Linked DNA regions of Mytilus edulis. Each later gene encodes a partner of the first gene's protein in a complex. Links are inferred from orthologs where the notes say so. Each region holds a gene or a part of one and is shown on either strand. Other genes may lie near its edges.

What was found.
Region 2: gamma-tubulin complex component 5-like (region 1) and nucleoside diphosphate kinase homolog 7-like share a complex: the UniProt entries of both Homo sapiens proteins name them as parts of the gamma-tubulin ring complex. The link is inferred for Mytilus edulis from reciprocal best matches to the Homo sapiens genes TUBGCP5 and NME7.

The regions. Positions count from the first base shown.
Region 1 is NC_092355.1:38,661,470-38,678,436, reverse strand, and holds the start of gamma-tubulin complex component 5-like, read right to left. Parts: upstream 6,232-16,967; 5' UTR 6,188-6,231; coding exon 6,119-6,187; intron 3,252-6,118; coding exon 3,145-3,251; intron 2,116-3,144; coding exon 2,004-2,115; intron 1,574-2,003; coding exon 1,474-1,573; intron 701-1,473; coding exon 621-700; intron 1-620. UniProt on the Homo sapiens protein: Component of the gamma-tubulin ring complex (gTuRC) which mediates microtubule nucleation.
Region 2 is NC_092346.1:81,915,009-81,932,334, reverse strand, and holds nucleoside diphosphate kinase homolog 7-like, read right to left. Parts: upstream 11,352-17,326; 5' UTR 11,234-11,351; coding exon 11,228-11,233; intron 10,203-11,227; coding exon 10,098-10,202; intron 9,636-10,097; coding exon 9,466-9,635; intron 9,120-9,465; coding exon 8,958-9,119; intron 8,193-8,957; coding exon 8,038-8,192; intron 7,497-8,037; coding exon 7,341-7,496; intron 6,766-7,340; coding exon 6,530-6,765; intron 6,325-6,529; coding exon 6,217-6,324; intron 5,668-6,216; coding exon 5,635-5,667; 3' UTR 5,436-5,634; downstream 1-5,435. UniProt on the Homo sapiens protein: Possesses an intrinsic kinase activity. Displays 3'-5' exonuclease activity with a preference for single-stranded DNA. Does not seem to have nucleoside diphosphate kinase activity.

The DNA.
Region 1 (16,967 bases):
GTCACATGGTGACCCCCTATGAAACAGTATGGGGTTAGTTAGTTTCATATGGGGTTCATGACGCGTAAATGGCGACGTCATCTATTAATGTTGTTGTGTTTCATTGTTTATTTTTCAACAAAACGCAGCAGAAAAAGTCCAGCGTCTGATAAATTCGTTATACGGTTAACTACTGACCCCCTATGGATCCATAGAGGGTGAATAAAATTCATAGGGGACTCAGCCTCCGGCTTCACCCCCTATGGATTTTACTAACCCTCTATGGATCTGTATGGGGTCAGTAGCGAACCATATAACTTATAATAGCATGTTCACTTGAAGACTGAAAGCCAAATTCAAGAAGCTCCAGTTTGTTTTTACATTTTGAAAAAGAAAAAAAAATACCCAACAATTATCATGATCACAATTATATTGTTAAATTTGCCGTTTCAGAATCTAATGCATCATGGGTAATAATTTCAAAAGTGTACACCAAAACGTCCTGATTGGTTAAAAATGTCATAAACAATGGAAATTTGACCAATGACGTGACGTTATTTTCATTTTGGGGTACGAACAATGAAATTACCCATGATGGCTTTAGACTCTGAAACAGCCAATTGTTTAGGCCTTTAACATACCTCTAAGTCATCATACACCTGCAATGGTCTGTATTCACCATCCAGTAGAAATGCTGTCCAATCAAAATCATCCTCTGGTTCTAATTACAAAACAAATAGATTTTATAATAATGCTAAAATATAAAACAATTTTGTTTTTAAAATTGGTCCTAAATAATATTACATGATATATACACTGTATGTATAATCAAGTGAAAAAAATGCATAGAATTACTAATCCGATCCAGGAAAAAAACGATAGTGTAACAATAAAATTTGAAAAAATCAAATAGACAACTTTCAAATTCTTGACCAACTGATTGTTGGATGATGTCATCTACGCCGATTGACCTTGGGTCAACTGGTGTAACTAATTAATAAAAAAAACCAACTTGATTGGTGTATCATGCTGTATAAACAATGATAAACCTTAAAAAAAACTTGCATTCTGTTGTTTTTTTCCATATAAATATAACCAGCTATTTAATTGATTATTATAACCAACAAACAATATAAGTATTTCGCATAATTTAATAACTGATGAACTATCTTGAAAAAACAAATTTGTTCATTTTGATAATACTACGTAATTCATGTAACAATGCATCTGGAAAAATTTATAAATAAGGCATGCAAGCTGCCTACCTTTCAAAACATACATGCAGGATGTCAAGTACAAGAGGACCTACAGTACCTCTTTTACATGTCATAAGTGTTTTAACCCTAAATTAAAAGTTTGGAATAAGTGTATATTTTTTATCTTTTAAATGCCATTTATAAATTATTTTCACCCCATTTTATATTAAAATATACTATTTTCATAGATGGTCATCCCTGTGAATCGGGAAATTTTGCAGGTCTTTACTGGACATACCTTCTGTTTGTAGAACTAAGCCATCCCCATCATAACTACAATGTGTAGGCGATTCAGCAAGATGTAGCAGTAAACTCAGTAAGCCATAGTGGGTATCTGTCTGAAAATTGTCAAATATTTCACAGTATTACTAGATAGACATGCAATTCATTTTATATTTACAATGTTCACTGCTTGTCATAAAAATAGTTAATACAAATTATGTATTCATTGTTGTTTTTTTTTGGTGCAAAGGAAAAAAAGGAATGCGAAAACATTATTTTTTCGATCATTGTTAAATGAATATTGGTTTTCTATTTTATTTCCTATACCCTTTTATGACCCTTTTCACATTCACAGGTCTCATACAGCCATGTTACGTTAACAAATATATATACTGTCATTCCTGTTTCATAATTGAGGTTACAACTCTGGAAAATCAAAGCAGAGTTAAAATCATCTTGTGCATTTCTCATGTTTCTGGACCCTGGATTCCCTTCTTAAATTAAAAAAAATCTTTTATGATATTTTAAACTACATTAACAATATACCTTTCCTTCTTTTTTGCCTTCAAACACTGGAGTTTCTAAAAATTCATCTGTTAATGTTTTAAGTGTGTTCGCTTTTCTTTGTTCAGAATGAATAGTACACTTGTCTATAACACTGAAAAAAAACCAGTCGACTAACTGTAACAATATTAATGTACAAAGAGTATGTATGATATTTTATATCCGTTGAATATTAGACGCTATGTTGAAAGAGTTTTCTGGATGTAGATCCCAGTTTGTTTGTGGTTATACTTTAAGATGGACAATAATGCTTAAGACACTAAACAAATTTTGATACTCTGTGCTTGACAAGATGGATGTTATATTGAGCCATTGCATTCCATATTGCACTTTTCCATTGACGTGTCCCCAAAAAAGGACTTCTGAATTCGGAGGTATAGAAGCGGGACTTTGAGTTAAAACCTTGAAATGTTTAGATTTTATGCGACAATCACTTAAGTCAAGAACGATATTCTTGGAATATAAATAATGTGTTCCTAAAATTAAAGGATGCGATGTTTGCACTAAAATATATACATGGATCCAGTGCTTTCCTTGAGGCACAGAAGTCTTAACCTTAGCAGTTCCATAAATTTGCACTGTTTGATTATTCGCTAAAGTATATATATATATATATCTCCCCTACATTATCAAAAGAAAATATTGACAAATAATAAATGTATATATAATCTCTTAGAGGAGGTGGTGTCACAAAGTTATTTAGTACTCATTAAAGCATTTCTAGAATTTTAATGTCGCTTATGAATATATATAATTAATCTTTATGTGACATATTCAAGGTCTGTCTCATGACAATAAAACTTATTATTGTATAGCAATATAATATTTCCCACAGAACGTAACCAAAAGTTAGTGTGCAATAAATTCTAATATTGCACTAGTGCAATAAATCTTCAAAATTCATGACGTCATCAACGACAAAATCTTAGTTTAAACCAATTTTTACTTTTAAATATTATATTGCTATACAATAAAAGGGTTATTGCATGAATATTGGGGAATATTGTCCCTCGTAGAACATATATTGCACTCGCAAGCACGTGCAATATAAAATTCTACTCGGGACAATATTCCCCAATATTCATGCAATAAAACTTAGTTTTAATACTGTATATATAATTACCCTTTTAATGATTGAGTGACTTTGTGGCTGTCAACACTAAGAAATCTGTGATATTTAATATTAGAATCAGCAAACTGAAAACAGATCTTAAAATTATCTTCTTCCTCCTGAAAAAAAGATAGCAGATCAATTTATAATCATGATAATATTTATAACATAATACTACAATATTTCTATTTTAGTTTTTAAATTGGGATTTTGTAAATGAAAGAATACATATGTAGCAACATTTACAATATAAACAGTTATCTGAAATAGTGCAAACAAATAAACAGTTTTATGAAGTTCATGTTTACATGTATCTCGTATCAATATGATAGCTCCTTATACACAATGTACATGTTATAGGGGGTCTCATTTGGGGGTTCTGATCCCGGATCCCACTTACAGTTTCGTCAGATTCCCTATCCTGCTAACACTGTGTACGCAAGCAATTCTCAGTTTTTGTAATTTCCTGTGTCCCGCTAGACTTCATTTCCTGTTTTCATGGCACATTAATTTGACTTTCTTGTGTCATGCTTATAGAAAAGCGGCAATCCAATGAGACCCACCTTATACATCATGTACATGTTATACATGTATGTATTGGGATATGTTTAGGGACATCTCCAGAAAAAAAGTAAATTTTTAACTGTGCTAGTTAACCAGAAATAATGATCAAGAACAGTATACAAAAAGATATGCCACCAAACTCATAATTTATTCTGGAGTTGAGCCAATAATTAAATCTTTGCTTCTACATTAAAGCGCTTTAAATAACTAGCAAGTCCTGCAACCTGATCCTGCACCTAAACAAATTTTCTAAGTACTGTGAGCAATGGTGTACATAAGCATGATAAGAGGAAATTATTCATACAAGCGAGACAACAGTCAACATGTAACTGATAGGTGCCCAATAGTCCGAGATTACTCTGACGTCCAATGGCTGTTTTGCCAGACAAGCTTGGGCCGTGGGACGTCAGAGCTCGTCCCATACCAAAAAGTGGATATTTGCCCACCCAAAATAGATGCGCTGCTTTGTCGCTTCTGGTGCCAACCACAATAACAATCGGAAGCTCTCGGACATTTAGATTACTTGCATTGTAAATGAATGAGGTGTTAAAATATGGTCATTTGCATAAATTATCACTTGTTTTCTCGTGGTCACGTGATAATCTTTGAAAATGAAAGTCAAAATGCAGAAATCGATGGGTCTCTGTGAAAACTGTTAAAATATGGAAAAATAAAGGTTGACAAGTAGGTGAAACTTACATAAATGAAGAGATAAATGAAAAATGAACAGATTGATGCCCGATTTATATAATTCCAAGGCCCTCAATCGTCACCAGAAGCGACGAAGCAGCGCATCTATTTTGGGTGGGCAAATATCCACTTTTTGATATGGGACGAGCTCTGACGTCCCACAGCCCCAGCTTGTCTGGCAAATCAGCCGATGGACGTCAGAGTAATCTTGGACTACTCAAATGAGGGATTGTTACTAATTTGGGTAATAGTTCCCCATTTGATGGGTTATCCCCAACCTGATAAAAGAGGTGATAAAAGTATAATCATTTGCATATTTGAGTCCCGAGGTCGCGAAATCCCTCATAACTTGAAGTCCTTTTGAAAATAAACAGTCAGGGGACTTACTGAAATAAGTGATTTTTAAATCACTTATTTGAGTAGCAAATTCGAGGTTTTGTCACAAATAGGGATTTTGTAGTTTTTTCAAAATTTTAAACACATAGGTTTAAATGACATCTTTTAATTAGTAAAATTAAAAAATATGAACTTTTTGCTTCTTTTAAATAGCAAGGTTTATGCCTTTGATGCTATCAGTTACCTGAAAATTCTATTTTAGTTGAAAAAATGCTATAATAATGGCTTTACATAATGAACTGATACTTTCTTTACAGATTTTTCACAGCAGTGGGAGTATTTTTCCTGTAAAGTTCAAGGTTTCATCTTTCAGATTATGTAATAAAATTCTACTGTTCGCGATAAAAATTTCACTGTTCGGGGGTGTTGAAATTAGTGGGGGTTATTAAAAGAATGATACTTAAAGAAGTGATTTTTGGGAAGGAAATTGAGGTCTGATACTTAAACAAGTGATTTTTATGTCATTATCTTAGATTCAGTACAAGGTCATCATCACCTGAATGACCTGGTCATCCTAGACAACACAGATGTTGGTTCTGATAAGTTTAGAAACATAATTAGTCCCTGGATCATTAGTATTCTATATTTAAAGCTACACTAATATTAAATCACTTCTTTTAGTGATTAATTTGTAGTACTTAAATAGGTGATTATTAAAGAAAGACAACTCTAACTTCCAACCTTATGGAAATAATGTTACTTGAATCAGTGATTTAGAAAATGTAAGTCCCCTGACTGATAAAAGAAAAATGTCTGAATCGATGGGTCACTGTGAAATCTGTCTAAATATGAGAAAATAAAGGGTGGCAGGTAGGTGAAACTTACATAAATGAAAAATGAACAGATTGATGCCCGATTTATATAATTCCAAGGCCGCCAGTTGGCACCAGAAGCGACAAAGCAGCGCATCTAATTTTGGGTGGGCAAATATCCACTTTTTGATATGGGACGAGCTCTGACGTCCCACAGCCCCAGCTTGTCTGGCAAAACAGTCATTGGACGTCAGAGTAATCTCAGACTTGGTGCCGAAGTGACTAGAAATGGGTTCACAATTAAATTCTGACAAAACATAGTATATATTTATTCAAGTAATATGTTGTTGTTTTGAGATAGTTAAGTGGCCGAAATAAAGTGGCCAAAACATTGTTTCATTATCGTATTCAGCATAGAGTATAAATATTATATGGAATTGTTAGCAAGACACTGTCAAAAACGTGTTATGAAAAATTATGTTTGATTATCTTAGAAACAGGTCGTTGTGGCCTACAGTACTTATGATCTTATTAATGCTCTGTACACCGTCTTATGTGGTTAAATCATCTACTTTAAAACATACACTAAATCCTGTAAAAAGTGTGATTAAATTTCTAATATCAGGTTCAAAATTGTTTTTCCACCGCGCCATTCCATCGGGAGTTCTCAGCTGTCTTCATAAAAACTAAGTATATTCCGAAAGAGATATAGAAAGTTACACCAAAAATCATGTACAAAAATATAAGACAACAACGTACAAATAGGGTCTCACTAATTAGAGACAAGAAGCGTCAAAAAGCGATAAGAAGCGACAAGAGAGTCACGATAGCATGTTGCGAAAGATGGAAACCAGAACGTCTAAGAAATCTCAGTCTACAGGAAACTTACTCTCTAAAGAAATTTTAACTATACATGGCAACAATAGAAACTACACGTTAAACAGACCAAAGGCCTTAGAAACAAAAACTTTAAAATGTAAACAGGAACATTTACATTATGAAATGAAAGCTGGAAAAAATTTCGTTATGGAATTCAGCACTGGGGCCTATGAGCTTATTAAAGAAAAAATTCTGCAATTAATTAAATCTCCCGAGTTCAACCTTAGTTTTGTAGTAGTAGAACAGCACGGCGTTGAACTTTCTAACCTGAACATTGACTCCTGCTACAAAATTTTCAATCGCAAAGCAAACAATCAACCACTGAGGCAATCTTCTCAAATTTACCATGAATCTTTATCATACTACAAACAAGATGACCGTTAATGGCGGCAGGGTTGATATCTTCATCAACGACATTTTTGACAAAATCTGTGCAGAGATTCAGAATCATTATACAGAATTGAACATTTGCAACAAAACCATACACTCTCAATTAAGTATCATTAAAGACTCTTTATCCAACATCATACAGAAGGACCTAAATAGAAACCAGATGGAAGCATTAGAAACAACAGAAGATACCAGCGGACTACAACTAGCTGAAAGGGAGGATGGTGAAATATGCCCAAACTGTGAACAAAATGTCCAGACAGAAGGGATCGCTTGTGATTCTTGCAATAACTGGTTCCACTACAAATGTGTTGGCCTAACAGAGGACCACATCAACTCCTTTCATCAACTAGAATATCACTGTGACCAATGTAACGACGATCTGCTCTATGTAGGAGCCACCTTCATTCCACAAACTGATGATAACAATCAAGAGTTACCAATTAATACCTCCAGTTCTGAACCTGCTATAAGCTCTCACGAAACACAGGATCATACTACTGACATATGTATGGACTCGCCAGCTCAGAAATCATCCCTGGAATTTCCCACAGACACTTACGTAAATCCCTGTATCACTAGCTGCCACAATCAGACAGCAAACAACTTGGAAAAAGATGATACCATGGTAAAGTCTGTCCTGACTGGTACTTCTAGCGATTCAACTTCCTCAACTAGAAACCCCATTACAGATAGGGGCAAATCAGCAAAGAGAAACAACTCACCTACTTCTAGGTCATTAACCAATCAACGAAAATTAAAGGTTAAGTCTTCTGTCTTAGCGCATGACCAAACACTGATAACACAGAGAACAAGAATTCTTGATTTAGAAAACGAAGTAAATCAACTCCGCACTGTTCTTCAGACATTTAAAGATCACATTAAACACCAAAATGATCAGGCTGAAATTGATCCTTCACGTCAAAACTCCCACCACAGTTATAGGATTGATGCTAATCCTCATATCAACCCAAGGCACAGGAACGATACAAATTCTCCATTGTCACATCAGCACTTAGATACCTATTACAAGCAAGAGCTAATGGAAAACAGACTGCGCATTTTGGAGAATCAAACAGCTCAAAATATGAGCATCAACACTGCTCTAATTACTCAGCTATCTCTTCAGAACAGACCTATGAGCCACTATCATCCTCCTTGTCAGCACAATCTGCTCCAACCGCATTATCCTCCTCAGCAACCAGTACCTTTCATACCTCAGTGGAACTTGCATCCAGCTTACAGCCAAACTCAGTTCTCCAACCATCCTGGCTCTATGCTACATCAACCTCAACCTCAATTTCAAACCAACGCTCATGTAGCAACTGGCCATGGATACCCAGGTATCCCTCAACAAAACTTGTTGCCACCAACTTATGCCTACTCATCCCAGCAAGTACCGGACTTTCACGGGAACAGGGCACCTCACATACCAACACCTTTTATTCCTCAGCCACATATATACCACAATAATGCATCTAGAACTGATCTAGGTTTTCAACATCCGGCTCCTCATCTTCAACAAAGCTCAGGTCGATACAACCTCAATAACAAGGTTTTCAATGAGAACTCAACGAGACCTGCTCCTAACTCGAATCTTCAAGCAAGAATGGCTAAAATCACACCACAGTCGGTATCAATGGAAACTGGTCAAAGAGGCTGGACAAACAGGAGATACCAACAAAAGAAACAGCTACCCTCTCAACCTTCCTCAAACACAAACATAGGAAGAATGTCAAAGCCACAAAATGAGACTATCACTACTAGCTTTTCTTCACCTCCAATTGACTCAGAAATAGTCAACTACTTAGATCCAGAAATGCACAAAGAACAAGCTGACATCCTTTTGGATCATTCTCATAGCAACCAAGTCATTACCACAGCTGAAACTCATCATCAGCCAATAGAACACTCACAAAAAGCTCAAGTGGCTAGCCATCAAACAACTTACCAATTCTCTGCCACAGACAATATTCAACCCCCAAATAGAACAGGGATCATCAAGTCAAATTCCCCTTTTCGAAACAACTGCCTCCAGGAGAAACCTCCAGAACAAAAGGAAAATCTGGAATCTCTAGTAGAACCGAGAACATCAGACTAACTACATGTAATATTGAAGGGATAAAATCAAACACATCCTTTCTTCACTCTATTCTCGACAACTCCCATATCATATGTCTTCAAGAACACTTCCTCTGGGAGTGTCAGTCGAACTTCCTTAATAAGCTCTTACCTGAATGGGAAAACCATACCAGATGTCATGACTCTAACGAACCACTAGATGGATTCAAACTCCTAGAGGTCAAGCAGGAGTTTCCATCCTCTGGCCAAAAACTTGGAACAATCAGATTAAAAAACTCCCTGATGGAAACGAAAGAATTGTCGCTATTTTATTTACCTCAAATTGGAATATCTGCTTAATTAACACTTACATGCCAACAAGGGAAACCGATTCACAGTATGAATATGGAGTCTGTCTGGATATAATTCACTCAATTATAGAGAAATATCAATCAACTCACCAAGTAGTTGTCTGTGGAGATCTAAATGGTACTCTCGCTACTAGTAGGAATAACAAACATGACCAGCTTTTGAAACAATTTGTTTTGGAAATGAACCTATCTACTGTCGGAAATTATGGTGAACAAAAAACATTCTTCCACCATTCAGGACAATCTTCTTCGCAAATTGACTACATACTGACCAACAACAAGGATATTTATTGTAATCATGAGATCTGGGAAAACACATCATCTAATGTCTCCTCTCATGTACCTGTCTCAATGATCACCAATATTGCTGTCCCTCTGCTTGAAAAATTCTCTAATCAAAATAAAAAAACTGTTCAAAGACTGAAATGGAATGAGATTGATGAACAACTATACCGGGATACTATCTCAGAAAAACTATCTGACATAAGGGAAGACAAAACAACCTCAGAGAACATTAAAACTCTGACATCTATTCTGTTAAAAGCTTCGCATCTGGCAGTCCCATCAAAAATAACCAAGCTAAAAGGTCCAAAATGGAAAGCCTCACCGAAAGTCAGGAAACATCTCAAAACCTGCAAACAATTATATTCTAAATGGAAAGCACTGGGTAAACCAGAAAATCATCAAAGCAAGCAAGATCTCAAAAGTGAAAAGAAGAAACTCCGCAGTCAACAGAGACAAGAACAGGCAACTGACAGGAGAAAGCTATATGAGCAAATTATGGACAATCCTTCATCTGAACTCTTCTTCAAACTCATCAATAGAAATAAATCAAAGTCTAAAACGGAAACTTCCGGCTTGGAAATTGACGGTAAATTTGACTTCTCTTCCCAAAATCAAAGCCGTGCCTTCGCAAATTACTACGAAGATCTCAGCCTTCCAAAAGAGAACGAATATGACAATGCTTATCTGGAACTCTGCCAAATAAGACAGAAAATAGTTGAGGAAACTTTCAGTCAAAATCTGCCATCAATGGACCCATACACAGAAAAGGAAGTAAAACAAGCAATTGAATTCTTAAACACAGGTAAATCAGCGGACGAACACGGAATATGTGCAGAACATCTTAAATACGCTCAACACACTGTGGTACCAGTGATCACAAAAATTTTCAATAAAATCTTGCAGGAAAGAAAAGTCCCAGTTGACTTCAAATCAGGAATCTTGACGCCAGTCTTAAAAAAGGAAAAAAATCCATCTCTGGTTAACAGTTACCGTGGCATCACTGTGACTCCAGTACTCTCCAAACTACACGAATTCTGCATTCTTGGCAAACTCTTTATTAACTCTGGTACTGACTTACAATTTGGATTTACTGCAGGTCTGTGGCCACTCTTCGCTAGTCTAATAATCTCTGAGTGTAAATGTGAAATAAGCAGTGCATTATCCTTATATCTAGCAACTGTCGACGTCCAATCGGCTTTTGATGTCGTCCAACATACCATTCTTCTTGACAAGCTTCTCGACCGTGGAACACACCCTGATATATGGTTACTAATTAAAGACTTCTACAGCGGTCTCACCTCCAAAGTTAAATGGCAGGGAGAATTCAGTGACAGCTTTAACATCCAACAAGGAGTTAGACAAGGGGGTATTCTATCAACCCACTTATATAAAATATTTGTGGAAGATCTTCTTAAAGAACTGGAAGAAAACTCATTAGGCTTTATATTAGGCACAATATACTGTGGCGCACCAACATGTGCTGATGATGTAGCACTACTGAGCTCAAATCCAGAAGAACTTCAGGTGATGCTTAATATTCTACAGAGATATGCAAACCAACATCAGTATACTATTCACCCGACTAAATCCAAAATTATCCACTATAAATCATCAAAAAATCCCGAGCCTTACTCCTGGAACATGTCGGGAAAGGAAATTTCTGCTTCTGAAGAAACGGTACATCTGGGTATAAAACGAACAACTAGAAAGGAATGTGATATCAACATAGAGGATCGCATCAAATCTGCAAGAAGAACCAAGTATGCTCTAATGAACTCAGGTCTGCATGGAACCAACGGCTTAAATCCCAAAATCTCCGTTACAATATACAAAAGCTATGTATTACCTAGACTCTTGTATGGCTTGGAAGTCCTAACTCTTACCAAAACTCAAATGGAACTACTGGAAAAGTTTCACAAAGAATCTCTCAGATCAATTCAATCTTTCTCTAAAAGAACGGCTATTCCTGCCATTTATTTACTACTGGGTGTCCTACCGGTAGAAGGAGAAATCCATAGAAAGAAACTGACACTCTTACATGCAATTCTGTCCTGTGACAACTCTAAATTAAAGGAAATTCTTAAAAGACAAATATCCGTCAATTCCGATAATCCTAAAAGCTTCTTTCATCAATCAATTTTACTGCTACAATAATACAACCTGCCAAACATTCTTGACTCCAGTATAAAACTTCCTTCAAAAGGTGTATGGAAAAAAATCCTGAGATCCACAATTAACAAATACTGGACCTATGAACTACAAGAAAAGGCAAAGTCAAAATCATCATTGAGTTCACTCAACACAACCATTTTAGAGATAGGTACTGTCCACCCAGTCTGGGAATCTGCATCACAGAGCTTGTTAGATGTACGGAAAAGCATGATCAAAGCTCGTATGCTCACTGGTACATACTTGGTACAGGCCGACAAATACAAATTTAGTCAATACAAGATAAATGCAACATGCCTGCTGTGTCAGAGGGAGGACGAAGATTTAACGCATGTCTTAACATTCTGTCCAGCTTTAAGGGAAACTCGTATGAAGTATTTCCTTCCTCTCAAAATCCTGGTCACAAATATCATAGGCTGCAAAGGATGGGAACAACTTTTTAACATTAACCAAAACATTGTAGCACTCTTGCTAGATTTCTCAGTTTTCCACAGTATGCAAAACCTCAGTAAAACCCAGAAGATGAATGTCGAGTCACTGACTAGAGACTTCTGTTACAAAATACATATCTGCCGCTTACAGCTTCTTAAGAACTTAGAAAACAAGTGAAATTCAAATGGAAGTATGTGAATGCTAGGAATGATTAGTATAGACAATGTACTTTAGTAACTTTTGTACCTAAGCAATTTTTACTTTTTTACTTATGATGGACAAGTTGGGTTTTAGATTTTATGCCTCCAAACATGTACATTTTATTTTTCTAATCCTGTGAATATTTTTCCATCCCAAATTTATTTGTATTTTTATCTCTTAACCATGTTAACCTCTCCACCATATGTACAGAGCACGTCTACTGGCCCTTTTTTACATTATTAATTTTGTCGATTATTTTTACCTTTTTTTGTTTTTTTTTTACTTTTTAACCCTATTGTAATTAACTTTTAAAAATATAAAATAAATCTTTGATTAACCCACTAATGTAAATACTCCTGATTACCCATTGCGGGGTGTTCCTTAGATAGGAAGCTAATACACAAGAAAGAAAGAAGAAGACTATTTAGCGACAAGAAAACATTTTTTTATTAGATATAAAGAATTTGTATTTAATGTTTTTTTTTAATATACGAGCAGATGTCTAATTAAAATGTTTTATTATATAGATAGACGAAGAAATTAAACATTTGTGAGGAAGAAAGAGATTGTGAAGTTTATATTAGTATATTGATAGATGAGGATATTAAACATTTGTGAGGAAGAAAGAGATGAAATTAAACATTTGTGAGGAAGAAAGAGATTGTGAAGTTTATATTAGTATATTGGTAGAGGAGGAAATTAAACATTTGTGAGGAAGAAAGAGATGAAATTAAACATTTGTGAGGAAGACAGAGATTGTGAAGTTTATATTAGTATATTGGTAGAGGAGGAAATTAAACATTTGTGAGGAAGAAAGAGATGAAATTAAACATTTGTGAGGAAGAAAGAGATTGTGAAGTTTATATTAGTATATTGGTAGAGGAGGAAATTAAACATTTGTGAGGAAGAAAGAGATGAAATTAAACATTTGTGAGGAAGACAGAGATTGTGAAGTTTATATTAGTATATTGGTAGAGGAGGAAATTAAACATTTGTGAGGAAGAAAGAGATGAAATTAAACATTTGTGAGGAAGAAAGAGATTGTGAAGTTTATATTAGTATATTGGTAGAGGAGGAAATTAAACATTTGTGAGGAAGAAAGAGATGAAATTAAACATTTGTGAGGAAGACAGAGATTGTGAAGTTTATATTAGTATATTGGTAGAGGAGGAAATTAAACATTTGTGAGGAAGAAAGAGATTGACCTTCTATTTATATTTTTAAATATGAAGAATATGTATAAGATAATGTATGTATCTGTTTTCAGCAAAGTCAAAGTATGAATAAACGAATGGAGAGATATATGGAGTGGGCATAATAGAATATAATATTTTGATTCATTTGCTTAATGATATGCTCTAACTGTAATCTTGTTATGTCAATAAGTATTAGTATAAGGTAAAACAAAATATTGAAAAACATTTTTCAAAATGTAACATTCGTCTCTTTATAAATATTATCTAGTATAGTATACATTGGTAATATTTGGGTAGTTAAAGTTAACTTCCTTGTTTAACCAATTTGGCAATTCAATATCGAGGACATTTATAACTTGATAGGATTTCTCAGTACTCAAGTTGCGCCGAGTACCCAAATTACACATATTTAGTAAAAGTAGCAGCGGAAACCTTACATGCATGTTTTCTTAAGAGACGAACCAATTTGTAATTTATCATTTGACATTATGCACGTCTTTCAACATAAGTAAATAATTTTATATTTTAGTATGCACAAAACGTTCACAGTATGTCTAAATACATAATCAACGGGTGAAGTATAACTACAAAAGTTAAAATGTACAGAAACGCCGCCATGCGACGTCCACCAAAAGATCATGCATGCATGCATATTTTCAAAATGAGCAAACAAAATATGTTACAAGCCTCCCTTCCTTAAGAAATGATTAGTAAGCATAGATTAATATCCGTCTAAATATTGGAAGAAATAAAACAAATTATCCGTAATTCGATTTTTAAGGCTGCGAATTTAAAGCATGGATGCAATTTGGGTACTCCTTATTTCAGAATCATAGCTAGACCGTCTGGAGGTCTTTTCAAACCATTTTTTATGATTCAGTATAGATTAAAAATTAAATTGGTGAAACCATATATAGTGAATAATGATACATCTTGAAACTAAACAGAATGATGGGGACCTTTTGTCTGGTTTATAAATAAACGTATGTGAAAAAAAAACCTGTCAAAATAGGTGCAATTTGGGTACCTCACGTGATTTTCATATATTAAAAAAAAACCTACAAAATTGGTTCATGAATTTACAGATTTTACTGTTTTAATCTATCTACGAATGACATGTTTTCATAAATATTCAGTGTGACAAATCTGTTGATAAATATAATTATTCAATTATGAATTTTATTTAAGAATTGAATGCTTCTTTTTGTAAATTTATTGGGATGTAAAAGCGTTGACCGAAGTACATTTTGTATGAAACGCGGAAGCGCTTCATTCTAAAAATGTACGCACGATCAACGCTTTTACAACCCTATAAAGTTACAAAAAGAAGCATTCAATACTTATAATTACATTGTTTAGCTATGATCATGAAAACACGAATTTTATATATTTTATTATTTAATTCACCTGTGCACTTTATTGTTGGAGCACGTGTTATCATGAGTGAAAAGTTGTATTGAGCAATGCAACTGCTTACGGAATAACACGTGATGTGCAGTTAGCCAATCAGAATAAAATATTATAATGAAACATACATATAATGTAATTATTAAATTGAACAGAACTTAAAAAAATATTCGGCTGTAAGTTTGTAATTCCTAAAAAATAATTATTCCATATTGGTATTATTTTAGTAGGTTTCTCTATATGAATTGGATTTTGAATAAAAAAGCATATTCACCTGAGAAAGTGTTATTCACCGCGCTAAACGTCACGCGCTTTTACATGCAACGTTATGGTAAAATGTTTCATGTAAAATTTGTTTTGGCATATGTTTGTCATCAAATACATGTTCTTTCCTCGGAATATGGAATAAAACAATTACTGTCTTTTGTTTCGGTAAATATGCACGGCCGACACTCGGCTAACCGAGAGATAGGTCGGTTAATCTATATTGAGTATGCGGCTATATCGGCGGTTGGTCTGTTAATCGGGTTGGTTATACGTCTGTTAAGAGTAAAACGCACAATTTTAATATTAAAATCTATTTAATATACAGATTTTAGGTACATTATAAGAATCAAATCAAAAAAAGAAAAGTGTCTGACAAAATGATATATATCATAGAACATTTTCGAGGGATACACTTAAATATGTGATAAATAGCTTAAAGATTATAACATGTTTTTCCATATTTGCCCTGGTATCATCCCTCGACCCATATCGGCCCTCGGCTAAAGCCTCGAGGCCGATATGGGAGTCTCGGGATGATACCAGGGCTAATATAGAAACATGTTTTTTCGAGGGATACCGATCTGCTCTATCACGCTCTCAGCTATGTGATATTTGATTTATTATAATGAATGTCCTATCATCATTTTCTTTAACAGATGAGTTTTATTATAAAGTATTTTCTATGTAGTCACGTACTTGACAGCGTAACGGGTATCTGAAAAATCAACAGAAGTGAAATAAACAGACAATAGTAGTGCATTGACTTGACATATAAACGATACAAGGATTAGGCCCGAAACGGGAAAAAAGCTCTGCTATCAAGAAAAAAAATATTTTCAATTGTTGTTATTTTGTTATTGTTATTTATTTTATTTAAATTTTTGGTAAATACCCCTTTTAAAAGGCCTCATATCTGGCTGAGAAATATACATCACAATGAACATGATGAAATGTACATCACCAGTTGAACTGTGACCCATCGATGGTGAACGAATGCGGTTAATATCAACAATAAGCATAACACACAATGGTTTATAGGTTTTAAAGTAAAAATATTAACAAGTGAAATACGTTTTTCCAACAATTGTAAAAGAAATAAGTTTGAGTCGTTCCACGCTTCGTTGTATAGTAAATTAGAACTTTAAGCATTGTCTATAAAATAACTTGATGTAGATTCAAATCATTGTCGTTTAAACTGCCGATTTTTGATTGGTCTAGCCGAGAGGGTGACATTCCAAAAAATTGTCACCCGCTCAGCCGTGTGATAGAGTAAATTAACACCTTCGTATTAGGCAATCAAAATATGGCATTTTAACATGATGTATAATAATACTTTAATATTACACTTTTTTATATCAGTTTTCAATATTCATGGCCTAAATTCATTGTTCATGTCAGTGTTTCCGTATATATTATGTTTCATTGCTCATGTGTTGTTTCCGTTTATCATATACTTAGACTAAATAACATATGATTTTTACTGTATGATAATAGCATTAAATTAACGTAAATTCCATATTTTTCGAATTGGTGTTTAGCGGGCTGATATGAAAAGTTTATCACATGCTTCGATTGTTATCACATGCCTTTCCGTAACGTTATCACATGGCATTCCGGTGATACTCGGCAAATTCCGGAAAATACACCTCAATGCTACGTTTTCAGTGGAAAACATTACGAAATAGTGTACAAAACAATTATTTAGATACTGAAAAGTATATTGTGTAAAATAATAACAAATAAAATTAAAAAAACAAACAAACAAATTATTAAAT
Region 2 (17,326 bases), on another chromosome or scaffold:
GTAGATTCTTAACTTTTGGTCCCGTTTTCAAATTGGTCTACATTAAGGTCCAAAGGGTCCAAAATTAAACTTAGTTTGATTTTGACAAAAAATGAATCAGTTAGGTTCTTTGATATGCTGAATCTAAAAATGTACTTAGATTCTTGATTATTGGCCCAGTTTTCAAGTTGGTCCAAATCGGGGTCCAAAATTAAACTTTGTTTGATTTCATCAAAAATTGAATAAATGGGGTTCTTTGATATACCAAATCTAACTGTGTATGTAGATTCTTCATTTTTGGTCCTGTTTTCAAATTGGTCTACACTAAAGTCCAAAGGGCCCAAAATTAAACTTAGTCTGATTTTAACAAAAATTGAAATCTTGGGGTTCTTTGATATGCTAAATCCAAAAATGTACTTAGATTTTTTATTATGGACCCAGTTTTCAAGTTGGTCCAAATCAGGATCTAAAATTATTATATTAAGTATTGTGCAATAGCAAGTCTTTTCAATTGCACAGTATTGAGCAATGGCAAGAAATATCTAATTGCACAATATTGTGAAATAGCAAATTTTTTTTTAATTAGAGTTATCTTTCTTTGTCCAGAATAGTAAGCAAGAAATATCTAATTGCAAAATATTGTGCAATAGTAAGATTTTTTTTAATTGGAGTTATCTTTCTTTGTCCAGAATCAACTTAAATCTTTGTTATATACAATATACAATGTATATTCACTTTTTACTACCAACTGATAAATTAAAATAATCTTTACCATTCAGTGATAACAAGCAGTTTTTTTACATCTTAATATTTTATGATGTATTTAAATGAGTAGTTATTGTTGCAAACTCCATTAGAAATTTTAATTGAGATTAGTTTTGGAATAAGGGAAAGGGGGACGTGATTAAAAAAATTGGGTTCAATTTTTCTCATTTGAAATTTCATAAATAAAAAAGAAAATTTCTTCAAACATTTTTTTGAGAGGATTAATATTCAACAGCATAGTGAATTGCTCTAAGAGAAAACAAAAATTTTAAGTTTATTAGAACACATTCATTCTGTGTCAGAAACCTATGCTGTGTCAACTATTTAATCACAATCCAAATTTAGAGCTGAATCCAGCTTGAATGTTGTGTCCATACTTGCCCCAACCATTCAGGGTTCAACCTCTGCGGTCGTATAAAGCTACGCCCTGCGGAGCATCTGGTTCTAGTTTCAAGACAATAACTTATGTGTAATTGTATGGATCTCTCTGAAATTGTACCACAATGTACCATATAACAAAGGGGAGGCTGGGATTAAGTTTTGGGTTAATTGCCCAAAATATGTAGGGATAAGGGGCCAAAAAGGGCCTAAAAGAAGCATGTTTCTAGTTTCCAAACAATCATGACAATAACTTGTGTTTCAGTGTATGGATCTCTCTGAAATTGTACTACAAGGTTCAATACTGCAATGGAAAGCATGGGATTGATTTTAAGGGTTATTGCTCCAAGGGGGTATCAAAACGTTGGGGGGGGGGGATTTTTTGTTTACCATTTTTTGAAGGGCTTCCTTTTTTCAAAAATTTTCAAATTTCAAATTTGAAAAGTTTCGAGAAGAAATCTTCAATTGCACAGTATAGTGCAATAGATTTGTAAGATCTTTGACCACATTAATTTTGTGACAAAAACCTATATTATATCAAAAATTTGATCACAATCCAATTTCAGACAGAATCAAGCTTGAATATTGTGACCAAATTTGCCCCATCTGTTCAGGGGGTAACCACTGGGGTCGTATAAAGCTGCGCCCTGCGGAGCACCTGGTTGGCTCATATCTCTAAAACCAAAGCATTTAGAGAAAATAATAAAATAATAAAAATTGTTTATTAGGTCAAGATCTATCTGTCCTGAAATTTTCAGACTAATTGGGCAACTTGTTGGGCTGCTGCCCCTGAACTGGTAATTTTAAGAACATTTTGCAGCTTTTGGTTATTATCTTGAATATTATTATAGATAGAACTGTTAATAGCAATAGTGTACAGCAAAGTAAGACCTACAAATAAGTCAACTTGACCAAAGTGGTCAATTTACCCCTTAAGGAGTTATTGTCCTTTATAGTAAATTTTTAACAATTTTCATAAATTTTGTAAATTTATACAAAATATTTACCACTGCCAAGCTCATCATAGATAGAGATAATTGTAAGCAGCAAGAATGTTCAGTAAAGTAAGATCTACAAACACATCCCTATCATCAAAACACAATTTTGTCATGAATCCATCTGTGTCCTTTGTGTTTGATATGCACATAGACCAAGGTGAGCGACACAGGCTCTTTAGAGCCTCTAGTTATAAAGATGCCTTATGTTGTGAAATTTGTGCTGTGGTATGTCCATTGTCCATGTCACTCATTTTCATGGTTCACTGACTTACTTGAAAAAAAGTAAAGATTTTAGTATTCTTAATTTCTCTCTTATATGAGTAATAGGATAACTATTTTGTATGTTCATAACTTGCAAGGTCCTTATGCCTGTCACAGTTTTCACTTGACCTCAACCTCATTTCATGGATGAATGAACAAGGTTAAGTTTCATGGTCAATTCCCATAACTCATATGATAAGCAATAGGTCTATATTTGGTGTATAGAATGATTGTAAGGTACACATGTCCAAATAGCAGGTGTCGTCCAACCTTGACCTCATTTTCATGGTTCAGTGTTTACAGTTCAGTTTTTGTGTTTTTGGTCTGTTTTTTTCAAATACTGTATGCAATTGGTCAACTATATTTGGTGTATGAAAGAATTTTACAATGCACATCTGCCTGGCATGTTTTATTTGACTGTGACCTTAGTTTTATAGTCCATTGCTCAATCTTAAGTTTTATTGTTTTTTTAATACTCTTAGCAATACTGGTATGTCGACTATATTTGGGGTATGGAATAATTGTAAGGCCAAAATAATAATAAATGTGTTAAAAATAGGGTAGGTATGTAGGCAATATAGTTTTATTTTACAAACATAGTTTATAGCTGGTTACTTCTAGGGAATCAGTCCAACTTTAACATTGCTTATTCTAAAATGGCACAAAAAGTGTTAGGATAGGCACTAAAAATTAGGGTAGGCAGGGTAAACGGAAACACATGTATAATTGTTTTGGGCCTAAGGTGTACATGTCTGTCTATCAATTGTCTTCTAATCTTAAATTTATTTTTATGGTTCATTGGTCAATCTTAGGTTTTCCTGGTTAAACTAGTTTCTCAGACTTACATATTATACAATATGTCAACTATATGTACAGCATATAATGATCGTAAGGTGTACATGGCTGTCTAGTAGGGTCCATCTGACCTTGACCTCATTTTCATGTTTCATTGATCAATATGATTTCCTGGTTAAATTTGTTTCTTAGAAACTATGGGCAATATGTCAGCTATGTTTGAAGCATATTTGGTGTATGGAATGACTGTCAGTTATAAATTAACTTCCAAATTGGTTTATTTGACCTTGACCTCATTTTCTTGGATCATGTTAATCTTATGTGATAGTTGTAATAAAGCAATTTGTCATCTACAATTGATTTAATTAAGGTAGACCCTGCTTGTGGCAAGATGCATTTGATTTGAACCATGAACTTGATTGCCAGGTTTTTTTTTTATTGAAGGGAGGTTGTTCTTTGTGGACACACTAAATTCCTCAACTAATAAAAAGTGGTCACTATGATACAGCAAAGCCTGCTGAACATGGCCTTAGAGCAACAACATGCATGCAATCAATCATTTGAGGAAAGTATGGACAAAGTAAAAATTCATTATCACAATTGTTAAGTACCTTAGATTTGATAGCTGCATTGAAGTTAGAACAAACACTAAATGCTAACTCAGACCATTTAATTTGTTTATCAGTCTCATGAGTGTAAACGCTGAAAGTCTGGCCTGTATTACTTTTTTCAAATTTTATTTTACCTTGATAATCCTAAAGATATAGTTTTAATACAAGTATGATACTTGAAGTATCTCATAACTTACAGCTTTTACATTAATGCTAGCAAGATAAATCTTTGTTTGGCTTGCTTGCTTTGTTGTTATCAATGTTTGCTCAAGCATGGCAATTAAGATAGGCGGGGTTTCAGCTTGTATACATCATACTTAAATTTTATTGGACGTTATGTTTGAGGTTAAGGACACTACATTTTAAAACATCATATGACAAATATTCTCACATGTTTCCTTACCTGTAAATAAATATACAATACAGTCAGGATTCTATTTCGTCAAAATTATCTCCCCATTACGGCAGTTCATTTTCACAATCGTAGAAATGGAAACCAAAAATTTTTCGAAGATATGCATTTTCATCATCCAACTTAAAGATTGTCGTCAAATACTTTTAGTAAAATAGCTATTCGAACACACCTACTCTGATTTTGTGATTCATTGGATAGGTATTTCACTAGACCCCTACATTTCATCTTTTAGTATTGTGATTTTTTTATGTTATAAAGTCAACCTGTAGCTTTGCTATATAAAAATGATAGAATTTGAAGCGAGATGATGTATTAAATACTCTTCCTTTGCACGTTTTCAAGACAAAATATTCATCTCAAACACACCCTAACATAAAAAAAGGTGCACTCGATTTTCTCTTTTCGATACAATTGTTACCCATTTATTGGAATTTTTTCTTCAGTTACATAAATGAAAGGGCAGACACGGAAACAACTGAACTTATAGATTGATATGTTATAAAAAAAAAAACCAATATAAATTTACATTTTTCTTTCATTGACCAATTATTGTATTTTTACAGGTGAGGAAACATGTGAGAATATTTGTCATGTGATGTTTTAAAATTAAGTGTCCTAAACCTCAAACGTAACGTCCAATAAAATTTAAGTATGATGTATACAAGCTGAAGCCCCACCTATCTTAATTGCCATGCTTGAGCAAACATTGATACACACAAAGCAAGCAAGCCAAACAAAGATTTGTCTTGCTAGCGTTAATGTAAAAGCTGTAAACATTAAAGATTTAAGAATGTGAGGTTAGTAACCTGAAGTTTAGTGGTTGTCATTTGTCGATGTGGTTCATAAGTGTTTCTCATTTCTCATTTTATTTTCATTGTTCTGTTTGAATGGTTTAACACTAGTCATTGTTGGGGCCCTTTAGATCTTGCTGTTCGGTGTGAGCCAATGCTCCATTTTTAAGACTGTACTTTGAATTATAATTGTTTAAAATTTACAAATTGTGACATGGATGGAGAGTTGTCTCATTGGCACTCATACTACATCTTCTTATATCTATATTATATAAAACCACAATAGTCAGACATATACTGAATAAAATTTACCTATTGCTTATAGACCAAACCATGAAAATAAACATTTCATGCTAGAAAAGTTTTTTGTGTAAGTTTCATTATACCCATCACCTTTTCATAGCAAGAGGCCAAGAAGATAAGAAAAAGAGAATATAGTATATATATATATATAATTCATTTTATGGTAAAAATTGATAGAAAGATTTAGATATTTACAGTTGGACATTTTGAAAAGATTGATGTCAATGCATTAAGTCTTCAATAAAATGCTGAAGTGGTTCATTCCCTTCTACAATACATGATATCACAGCTGTCTATAGAGTTTAATGATCTGATTCAATAAAATGTCTCTAGGTGCTTCAGCGATCCAAAATCTTGAAGAAATATTCAACCTGAAAACAAATGTAATATTAATATTTCAGTTTCATCATTTGCCAGTCTTCTGGCTTTATCTTCCAGAATCTTTTTTTAAATGAAATAAAAAAGTTAAATCCTTTGTACTCCATTTCTGATGAATGTTGTGTATGAAATAAATAATAATAGGCTTCTTGTACTTTCCTGATGTGTGTCTTTTAAGCTTAGTAAATGACTGTAACTTTACTATGGATTTAGATTTGCATGTGGATACAGTATGTATGTTTATCATTCCATCCCCTTTTGACATTAGAAATTGACAATTTTAAATGTTTTTTATTTAAAAAAAATTAAAATCATTACTTTTCTTTTCTGATAATCTAGCTACATGTATATAGTATAATGGAATTAAATGTCCTGTTTACAATAAATCAACCTGTCAAATGTGATTTATATAGTGCAAGTTTGCATGTTGTCCATGTATACCTATTAAAACATTATTAGAACCACAGATACTATTGTGTGTTGACCTCACCCCAACATCAATGTTATAAACAAACATACATCTTTTCAGCATTAATTCTTACCTCTAACAATCCATCCTCAGGTAAGTCTGTGCAGTGGACAGCATTTTGTACTTTGTCTACACCAAACAAGGCTCGTAGAGTTCTAGGTCTTAAATGGCGTGCTATTTCCTGAAAAAGAAAAAACAGAAATATGTTTATTGGTGACAGAAATTTTGTTTTTTAAGTTTTTTTATCCATAGTTGGGAATTATATGTTGGCCTCTAGATTCCTATTTTGATCTTGATTAGTGCTGCCTTGTAGACATAAAATGCACATATTCTTTTACTTGTATCCTTAATTTTACATTTATCATGTTTAAAACTTCACAACTTACTGGATCTGCTGGTCCAACCATTTCTCTGAATTTTGTTGGTGCTTCCTGTGCCCTGATCTCCATAGCAATGCATGGACCTGACGTTAATTCTGATACCATAGAACCATATTCCTGTACTACTCCTTTATACACCTCATAAAATTCTTCAGCATTTGCCTTCTCCATGTGGAATATTTCTAACACCGATATTTCAAAACCTGCCTCCATGATAGCACTGATAATTTGTCCAGAAAGACCTACAATATTTCATTGAATAGATTTCATTTATTTTCATGTCATAATCTTTTACTACTGAAGATAGTGTTATTTGCAAGCATCTACAAAGTAAAAAGTTAAAAAAGAAACAAAATCATTTTCCTATCAATCAGCTATTAAAAGTATTCAATATTCACTTATATAGTTGAACCTCATAGTGTTGATCTGAGTTTTGTTATGAAATAATTTTCTAGCTACAGTGTGTTTGGTGGCACTGTCTCATTGATGTGTAACCAGATTCCTATATTATTAATATTAACACGCATACATTACTTAATAACCAGTTGGCAAAAAGCTAGTATTACAATGATAATAAATGGCTTCGCCTAGCACAGCTGGATACGACAGCAGATGTACGTCCAACCCTGAACAGTTAGGGCAAAAATGGACACAATCTTCAAACTTAATTACAATCAATTTTTTGGCGGTATTATAAAAATATACCATTGCTTATATCAGTCTTACATCAAATGCATCAGAAAGAATTTTTGATTGATATTGAAAAGGACAAGTATTAAATGATTAATACAAACATAAGATTATTTCAAAACCATACCTGCTTTCACTGCATGTGGTTTGATGACACAACATGTACATTCACTATATTTAGCAGTGTTCTGTCGTCCAGGTCCAGTGCTGGGGAAGAAAAACTCCACCTCTCTAGCAGCTGATGTTGTACTGTCTGAACCATGGCAGGCATTTTCTGTGTTGTCTGAAAATTACCAACACTTTATATATCAAGTTAGATCATGTGGACATGAAAAATATAGTTATAAGGACTTCATGTGTCTGTTGGTAGTGTGTTGTTGGTTTGCTGTGAATGCTGTCTCATATCAAAGTACAAATATATACCCAACATCACCTTTAATTTAAATACATTTCTGCAAAGGTTTCAAAAGGAACAATTTATTATGTAATTCCTGAAACTGTATTGTGTTTGTTTGATAGTAGATTGACACTTTACAAACTGAAATGAGAAACTTAAAATTGGTAAAGAAAATGTGATTTTATAAGCATTTATAAAAACATCATATTAATTTCTTAATGTACAAATTACTAATGTAACCTTTCTGTTACATTTCTTTAACAAAAATGTGATCAAAATATAGTTTTTTGTATATTGACAATTGACAACCAAAATATAACAATAGTAAATGTTCTAAACTCATAATCCAGAAAAATTGTGTTTAAGATTGCTGTTTTACTGTAATAAAAACTAACAATCCCTTTATTTAAAATAATTGAGCACAAACCTTTTCCAAATCTTGCCCGTATTGACTGGGGTGCCACTTTTCTTGCTTCAGCTGAGTCTGTTGGACCAAGTAACTCTCTCCAGGCAGAGATTACTCCAGGTCCCATCATTTCAAAAGCTATCACTGGTCCTCGAGTTATAAAATTTAATAAATTGCTGTGTTGGAGAGAAAAGTTATTTACCTTTAATAAGTCATATAACTATTGTATTTCAGCCAGGAGCATGTTATTTTAGTGGTTGTCTTAAATGGTTGCTGTTTGCCAGTATGTATTTTTATTAAATTTTTTTTCTTTCAGACTGTTTCACATTTTTCCTGCCAGGGCCTGTAATAGCTTTAACACTATGATCATTGTTGATGGCCAAAAGGTAACCTATAGTTGTTTACTCCTCTTTCTTTGATCTCTTGCATTTTATTTGTGGATAAAAGTTTCATTGTTTAACAAAATTGTTATTCAAATTTTATTTTCTTTAACAGTTGTGTTCTTTTAACATATACGTGTCTGTTTCATGGTTTCTTTGCTGATTTCAGCATCTTCGGTACATTGAGTTCTTTGTACAATATTTTCTTAACATTTGTTTATTAAATTGCTTCTGAAAACAAATTCTATTTATGCTTTATTTTTCATGAAAAATCTAATTTACATCAATTGATTAAATTTTAGCATTATTAGCATTACCAAACAAAAGTAAATTTAAGTTCTAGATCAATTCTTTCATGGAGAAATAAAAGTATTACTGGGGTATAACAGTTCATCTATGGTAGTACATTTTTCAGGTGCAAATTAAATTTAAATAGTGATCATTAAAGATTTGTAACAGTAAAAAAATCAGTATACGATTTAGGATTCACTTCCAGTTTTATATATTCAAGTAACCTTAATTTGCAACAATGGTAATCACACAGATAATTTTAGTACTCACTCTAAAAATGGTTTTCCCTGATGCTCTTGATAAAATTGGAAAGCTTCATTTCTATTCAGCTGACACATCTTTAACTGTGTAATCATAAATCCTTTTTGATATATCACATCTAATATTTGACCCATTTTGGCTGTGGAATCGGGTTTTATGATACCCAAAGTTCTACAAATAGAAAGTAACACAAACTCTCATGAAAGTAAACTGCATGTATACAGATCTTTATTTTATTTCAAAATCAGCACAACAAAACTTCAATGTTGGGATTTTGTTGTTTGAAAAATTGTAATGTCGCACAATCCTTCATTATCCAATACAGCACAGATCTTATTTTTTTTTATTTCATGTATATCCTGAAATTCACATTAGTTAAAAATTTGAATATGAAAAGTAGTATTGAAATATGCAAAGAAAACTATGATTATTAATGACAATTTGACTATTAATAACTGTATTCCTGTTAAATATAGTATAAGTAACTGCTTTATATACTAATTTTATTTCTACAAACCTTTCTTTTTTATGAGAAAATCTGGTCCTAGTGTAATCATCTCCATAATCTACAAATTTCAGCTGTCTAGACAAGATGTTTACTGTACTACCAATATATAAATCTTCTAGCCGTAAACAGTCACTAACTTTTGTCTTCTTCAGAAATACTCTGTGATTTTTAATGTCAAACTGAAAGATATAACATCATATATATATATATGTATTGCAAATGGATATAAAACTTTGTCATAACATATCAAATGTATTATTCAAGTTATTAGGTGTAACATTTAAATTTATCATATTATACATTTGTAAGTGTGAGAATTTTTTTACAGGATAAACACTAAAGATTTGTGTTGAATTATAAATGTTGATGTCCCCAATGAATAATTTATAAGAATGTAATAGCTAATGGGCATAATTGATATTACCCTCTAACTACCAGCTGGTCTACTTTGAATTTTATTTCTATCTTGTGAAAATTAAGATTTTAAACACTAGAAATGATGAATTGAATTTAACATATTCTTTTTTGTAATCTTAAAAAAAATCATTGAATTTAAGAAACAACTTTTCATTTTAAATTTTATTATTTCCAGCTATCAAACTGGTAAAACATTTAATGTAATGGACCTTTTATGGTATTACCATTTCTGCTGTTTGATCTTTGACATAATACATAAACTGATATCTGCGTATGAAGGCTGCATGTGGGTCATACCATTCAGCAATGAAACAATAACGGTCTTCTTCCTAAATAAACAATATAATATACATGATATAAAGGTTAATAAATTATGGGATGCTAAATTGACTATATCCAGGTTTTGATTATACCAGGTGCTAAGTTAACGTGACTAGATTTCATATTGTCTTGTTACCAAAATGTCATTTGGTTCTGAATTATGTTCAGAATTTGAAGGGTCTGATTTTAGATTTAACTGGTGAATGCAACCAACTTTCCGCTCCCAACTTTCGGCTGGAAAATTGGATTGTTCTGTCTGTATATGTATGTTACACAGTGCAGGATCCGATCACGGATATATGCGCATTGGAAGGAGAGCTGGTTGGTTAGTCCAACTCTAGGAGGGCAGGCCTGAAACCCTCAACTGACTTTGGGCATTCAATATCCTTGTCCAGATGGTTCCACTGGACTATTGATTTGGGAAAAAAAGGGTTCTTTCGGATGTCTGTTTTGTAGTCAATCAATTTGTATGATCTGCTATTTCTAGTTTCTTGTCTCTCTACGATGTTTGTGTATTTTTATTGAAAGTCACAGTCATGATTGTTGTGGGTGTACAAGTCAAATCGGCACCCATAGAAAAAGTCAAATCGACACCTGGTTAAATCGGTTAAAACATCTTTTTGCTTAAAATACTGAAAAAAAACATATATTAAACATATCTAATACGGGTGCCAAAATTACAATATCAGGTGCCGATTTAACCAGGTGCCAAATTGACTAGGTGCCAATTTGACCAGATGCTGATTTAACCAGGTGCCGATTTGACTAGAATTCGATGTGGGATGTGAGCACATGAAGAGTCATTTTACATGTGACGAGTCATTTTACGTGGGGCGACAAGATGATCAAGAGTTTATCAGATAGCACCTGTCTATATTTAAATACAGTACACACCAAAGCAAATCAAGCAAACTATATTTGCTTTCAGAGCTCCTGCATTTGCCTGGTCCTGTTCAAACATGATTAAACTAATAAAATTATTATCTAATCATTTGATTTCTTTCGATGATTTCGTTTTAAAATTTTCTCTTACCCCCATGTTGACACTGGTACGTATATATGCTATGGTAGGAGGTGTTGATCCTTAATAATATTTGAAAATGTGTTGCAGTCCGTACAAGTTGTTGTTGGCAACAAACTTTAAAACCTGATTTGTTAAGAGTTTTCTGATTGGATACCGTGAACACTTCCTTTGAATGAAACCGGAAGTTGTAATGTTTTGGGTGGCAGAAAAAAATATTGTTTACTGTTTTTCAACCTGAAAAGAAGGTACTTAGACAAACTATGTAGGGTATGCTGTTTAAAAACAGAAAATTGAATATTCAGTGCAAACAAAAAGAGAAATAAGCCAAATCCTAAGCGCCTGTGATGCATGACAATGTTACAGTTTCCGGTCGTTCCGACCACAAACCAAGTCGCTAGGCCCAAAATTCAATAGTCAAAGTCGATACGGCCAATCCCCATGGAAGAAATATTGAAAGGAATAACTACAACACAATTTCAAATGTTTCATCTGCGTAATTACCGCCAATAAGAATACTCGTTAATCAGTTTACTATATGGGGAATGGCAGTTGATCCTCGCAAGTGATAGATTACAGTGGTCTCGCTAGCCCAAAATAGAAGGGCGCCGAGCCCTGGATGCCCTCTAGCCGCGCCCTGGGTGCCTTCATCCGCGCCCTTCTGCCCTGACGTCTTTTTCCAAAATTCTCTTGTGCCGTTTTGGTAAAATTGCCTTTTGTTTCATCGATTTCTGATCTCCAAGTTAATTACATATATGACACCTGTGTGATTGCCCCCAGGTTAATCATGTCATTACAATCAATTACAATGATAAAGACTTCAAAGGTGTTAATATCTAGGTAATTTAATTAGGACAATGTATCTTTTTGTCATACATTTGATGAATGTGTCAGGAGTGTGTTTAGCTTGGGTCTGCATTTTCGATTTCCAAGTCACAATGGAAGAGTGTATAAATGAAGACTTTCATGACTTTAGAATTGAATTTAAGTCATCAAAATAAAACTATGCCTTCACAGAAATGCATTCCATCTCAACTTGTTAGCGACAAGCACAGTTTTTAATTGACGCAAACCTGTTGGAAATTAATTTTGGAGTTACTTCCCCTGTTTTAGCTTATTACAAATTTGTGCTCTAAAAATATTATCTAGTATCAAAAAAAGGAATAAAGAACCAATTGAATATATAATAACATAATAATGTTACCTTAAGGATATTAACTGTCTTTGAACATATTAAAAAAAATATATTGCAATTTCTGTTTGATAATTATACTTTTAGCAATCCATGTTCTAAACATTGATAAATTAGTAATACACAAAAACATAAAAGATCTTTTGTATAAAAAGCTAAAATTTTTATACAGATAAAAAAAAATATTCTTTGACAGTGGGTAGAGTGAAAAACTATAAAAACATAATATGTTGATGAAGATGTACTATATTATTCATAACTACACAAACAATGAAATAAAGACTATAGTTAAAATGCATTTTTATTTAAAAAAAACAACAAATACAGTAAAAAAAAAGAGATTGGTTAACTCGTGATACACACAGAAACGTAGACAAAAAAATTAGCAGTGCCTTTTCTTATCATAAAAAGTGCCCTGCCCTCCACTGGCACCCTGCCCCTTTTGATTTCTAGCTAGAGCACTGGATTAAATCACTGACACTTTTCGGTCATTTTCGTGTTCACAGAAAATTACAAACAGACAAGTTGTTATCGTTCATATGTGCATAGTTACCCGAAAAGTCCTGGCACTCGTAACATTCTGCTGATGTGCGCTGCCAAATAGAGTAATTCATTCAATAACAACGGTACCTCGAATGACTGAATAACACTTGTAATGACCGAATAACACTTGAAATTTTAATAATATGAGGCAGGCATTACCTGTAAATGGGGACGAAGTCTGTATGAATTATTTTTTTGTAACTAATAATTTGTTAAAAAAAAAGAAACGTAAATACCGTAACGTTTCCGATTTTGGTTCTGTTGTTAGGGATTTTAGTTGTGACGTTATTTAAATTATGACGTCATATGCAATGTAAACAAAGAAACGCTATCATCAGGTAACGTTTTTTCATATCAAGGAATTATTAAAAATGAAATTGGTATTGCGCGTTCCTTCCTATTTTATACTAGACTGATAAATATATATTTTACTCAAAGTTTCATACAAACGAGACCGGAAAAAGGAAGTACATTGTACATTTCTGCGCAGGTCCCGGATTTCAAAACACGACAAAAAAAATTTGAACGATTTTGAGTTCATTAGTACAATGAAAAATTCGGGAAATTTTCCAGAATTTTTTTTTTATTGAATTTTCTACTGTTATTGGGGACTTCGTCCCCATATTAACACATATTGGTGACTTTTAAACATTGATTATTAAATAATAGTATATTATCGATGTATTTTATAACTCATCAATGATTTACAGAAGACAGATAAGTTCATAAAAACTTTAAATTCAGTGTGTACATCCAATATGGTGACCACGGAAATCACAATGGCCGCCATGTTCGATGTACACACTAAATTTAAAATGATTTTTATGAACTTATCTGTGTTAATAATTCTTATATGATCTGCATATTAGGGAATACGTTGATACTGAGACTACTTTAATATGTGTTATAGTAGTCTCAGGTTGATATGATTAGTCGAGAGGACTTCCGGTAGTTAATCTTGACATTGATTATTTTTCGATAGACAAAGTTGACCAAACTTCTTTTCTTAACCAATGTAAACAAGATGGTACACAGATGTTGACAAATTTATTTTCACTGCACGTTAATATCATTAAATGAAATAATACACAAAATCATTAGTTTGAATGATAATAAGAGTCTGTGCAGTTTACTTTTTATCAGATAGGAAATTTCATTGAGGACATATTTTTGCATTTACCAGCAAATATATTCATGCACCAGGCCTATTCAATGACATAAATATACAATTTACGTGTGGTAGAGGTAAAAAGTGTGGAAAAACATATCTCCAATTTTAAAGAATTGTAAGGATTAAACATTTTTTAAAGGAATTTATTGGTGCATAAACTTGAATTGGTCGAGTTTATACACCAATAAATTACTTTTAAAAGGTGTTAAATCCTATAATAGTTTAAACCAACAGCTAGCACATATAAAATTGGAGGACAAGGGTGGCTCGTTTTCAATTTTAACATTTACAGGTAGCACAATACAAAGATTTTCTGGTCTCTACATCGATATTACCTGGTTTAACTCGTGATCCGCTTTCAAAATTTATTTTACAATACAATACTATCATAATTTATAAACATCTCACCATCAATAATACATTTAGGAAACGGTCCTTGTGTGAGATTAGTGTACATGTTTAATTGCAAATTAACAGCAAAATTACAGTGATAAAAGCATGTTTAAAGTTTAAACTGTGGGCTTAATTTCTACAAAAAATAAAACTAACATAAATCAACATACCTGTTTCACAAAGATGATGCTGCCAGTTGTCAAATGTGTCACATTGTAGAACATCTTGATGAGACATAACCGTCTTCTTGCATACAAACGAACTATGATTGCAAATGAAGAAGATCACACATTTCATCGTAGTTTATACATTTTTTCCCAAAGCTTGGTTTTTACAATGTTTAAGCCATGCATTTTCTTTTCAGTGAGGATGGTGATTGTTCAAGTATAACTCAACAGATTTTGATGTTCAAAGTGCAGCATTAATACCAATTTTTGGTTTTCATATACTTCTTTATGTTTTTTTCTTCTTTAATCAAATCCATCCTCTTATTGTAGGTCTACCATCCACTAATGACCACAGATTAGTATATTGTGTGCTCATAATTATTTAATATGCATATCAAATAAATTGCTGTTTAAACAATTTAAAATAATAAAAAAATATAAGGACTAATGATTAAAGATTAGCATTTGATTTGTTTTGATATATTTGAAAGAATTATGATCGCATCAAATTAGCAATGAAAGTTTTTTATTCATATGTTGCTATATAGTATGATGCAATGTTTATGAAAGAAAGTTACAATACATTGTGAACTTCATGTATGTATATAGATGTAAATAATATCAAATAAATCATGGGTATGAGTTGGTTAAATAAGGGTACAAATAAACTCATCATAGATACCAGGACTAAATTTTGTATACATGTATACGACAGACTCGCGTTTCGTCTTCAAAAGACTCATCAGTGACGCTCGAATCCAAAAAAAGTAAAAAAAGGCCAAATAAAGTACGAAGTTGAAGAGCATTGAGGACCAAAATTCCTAAAAGTTTTGCCAAATCCAGCTAAGGTAATCTATGCCTGAGGTAGAAAAGCCTTAGTATTTCAAAAATTACAAGTTGCTGAAAGTACAAGTTGTCATGTACCCCAAAATATGACACCTGAATGTCGTTACATTGGAAACACATTAAAGAAAATATTACACTGTACTATCTTTGGTCATGTTGGTATTTTTTTTAAGTCAAAGATAAAGCAATGATTACATGAAGCTTGCATAAATTTTAAATGGACATATATGTGTCATTCAGGCACAGCTGTTGTGGACACACATGTCCATGCAGCAAAAAGAGAGCTCTAAGAAGCAATATTGCTGCATGTTTTACATACATGACATGTAAATGATGGTTGTTTCATTTATTTTGTATACATGTACATTTTTAGATTCAATAATATTTGAACAACACTAAAGTAAACTATCTTTTATAGTCAACATTTTTCACTGATTAGATCGGGTCATCAGGTCATGACATTAGAAGATGCAGTTTACTTTTATTAAGTGTTGTTGTCAAAGAAGTGTTAAAGTATATTTTTATCTGACAATCTGCATTCCATTTATAGTTGGTAAAAAGATCATCATTATGTTTGCATGTTATATGATATGCATGCCAAATCAAAATAAATTTTCCGTCTATGATCAATGACAACTTGTTTTAATTATTTTTTTTATAGAAGGGATAGAAGACCTACATGTTTATCTATGCTTCATATCTTGTATGTTAAAATCCATGTACCTTATTTTATGAAGTTTTGGTCTGTCATATGTCCATTGTCCTTGACCTTAATTTCATGGTTCATTGGTCAATGATACATTTCAGTAATTTTGTCAGTATATTAGATACTATAAGCAACAGGTCAACTGTATTTGGTGTATGGACTATTGAATGATTGTAAGGTGTACATGTATCTCTGGTCTTGTTCTTTTGACAATGACCTAATTATCATAGAAAATTAGTAATGTTAAGTTTATTATGTGATGCTTGCAGGAAAACCTTCATGATTCAGACCGTTGACATGAATTCAATGATAAGTGTAAGTCATCTCTGATGAAGTTTTGACACCCATTTTGAGTAAAGAAAAGATGAAAAACTTGAATCCTCTATGAAGAGACATTCATATAGATTATCCAAGAACACAACTTTAAGACTTAACAAATGTAAAATTCAAATAAAATAATATAACACTGAAAAAAAAAATCAAAAAAAAAATCAAATGAATTAAACAAATTCAACTCTTAACTTTTTTTTTTTAGCTTGAATTAAATTTTATATCATAAATCATTTGTAAATTAATATCAATCATTAAAAATTTGAATTCACATTAAACAAATTGTTTTTATTATGTCATTTATGTTTTGCTGATTTATTCACCAACATGCAAATGATATTGTCATGTACAATATAACATCGAATAATTTATAATAATTTGTTTAGTTCAAATCCTCTTGCAATTCTTTGTCTGAGACTCTGAGTTGTCTTTCTAGACTGTTCAGGTTGACTCTGTAGTCGACCTGATTTGACCCAGGCCATGTTGTCTGATAAACATTGCACCCAGCCTTTCAGTATACTCTGCAGCTCAGGTGATTTTTGCATATATCAGGTGAAGAAGTGACAAATTGATAAACATGCAAAGTTGATAAAAAAAAGTCTGATGTACATTGTATATATTTTTTTTAAATCTGATGATCAACTGTATTTTTATGCTGGTTATAGTTTAAAAACAGGACTTATAATCATGAATACCGAATAATCATCAAATAACACAGGAGTTATTGATCAATTTATCTGAGAATGTTGACAAGTCTATGTTT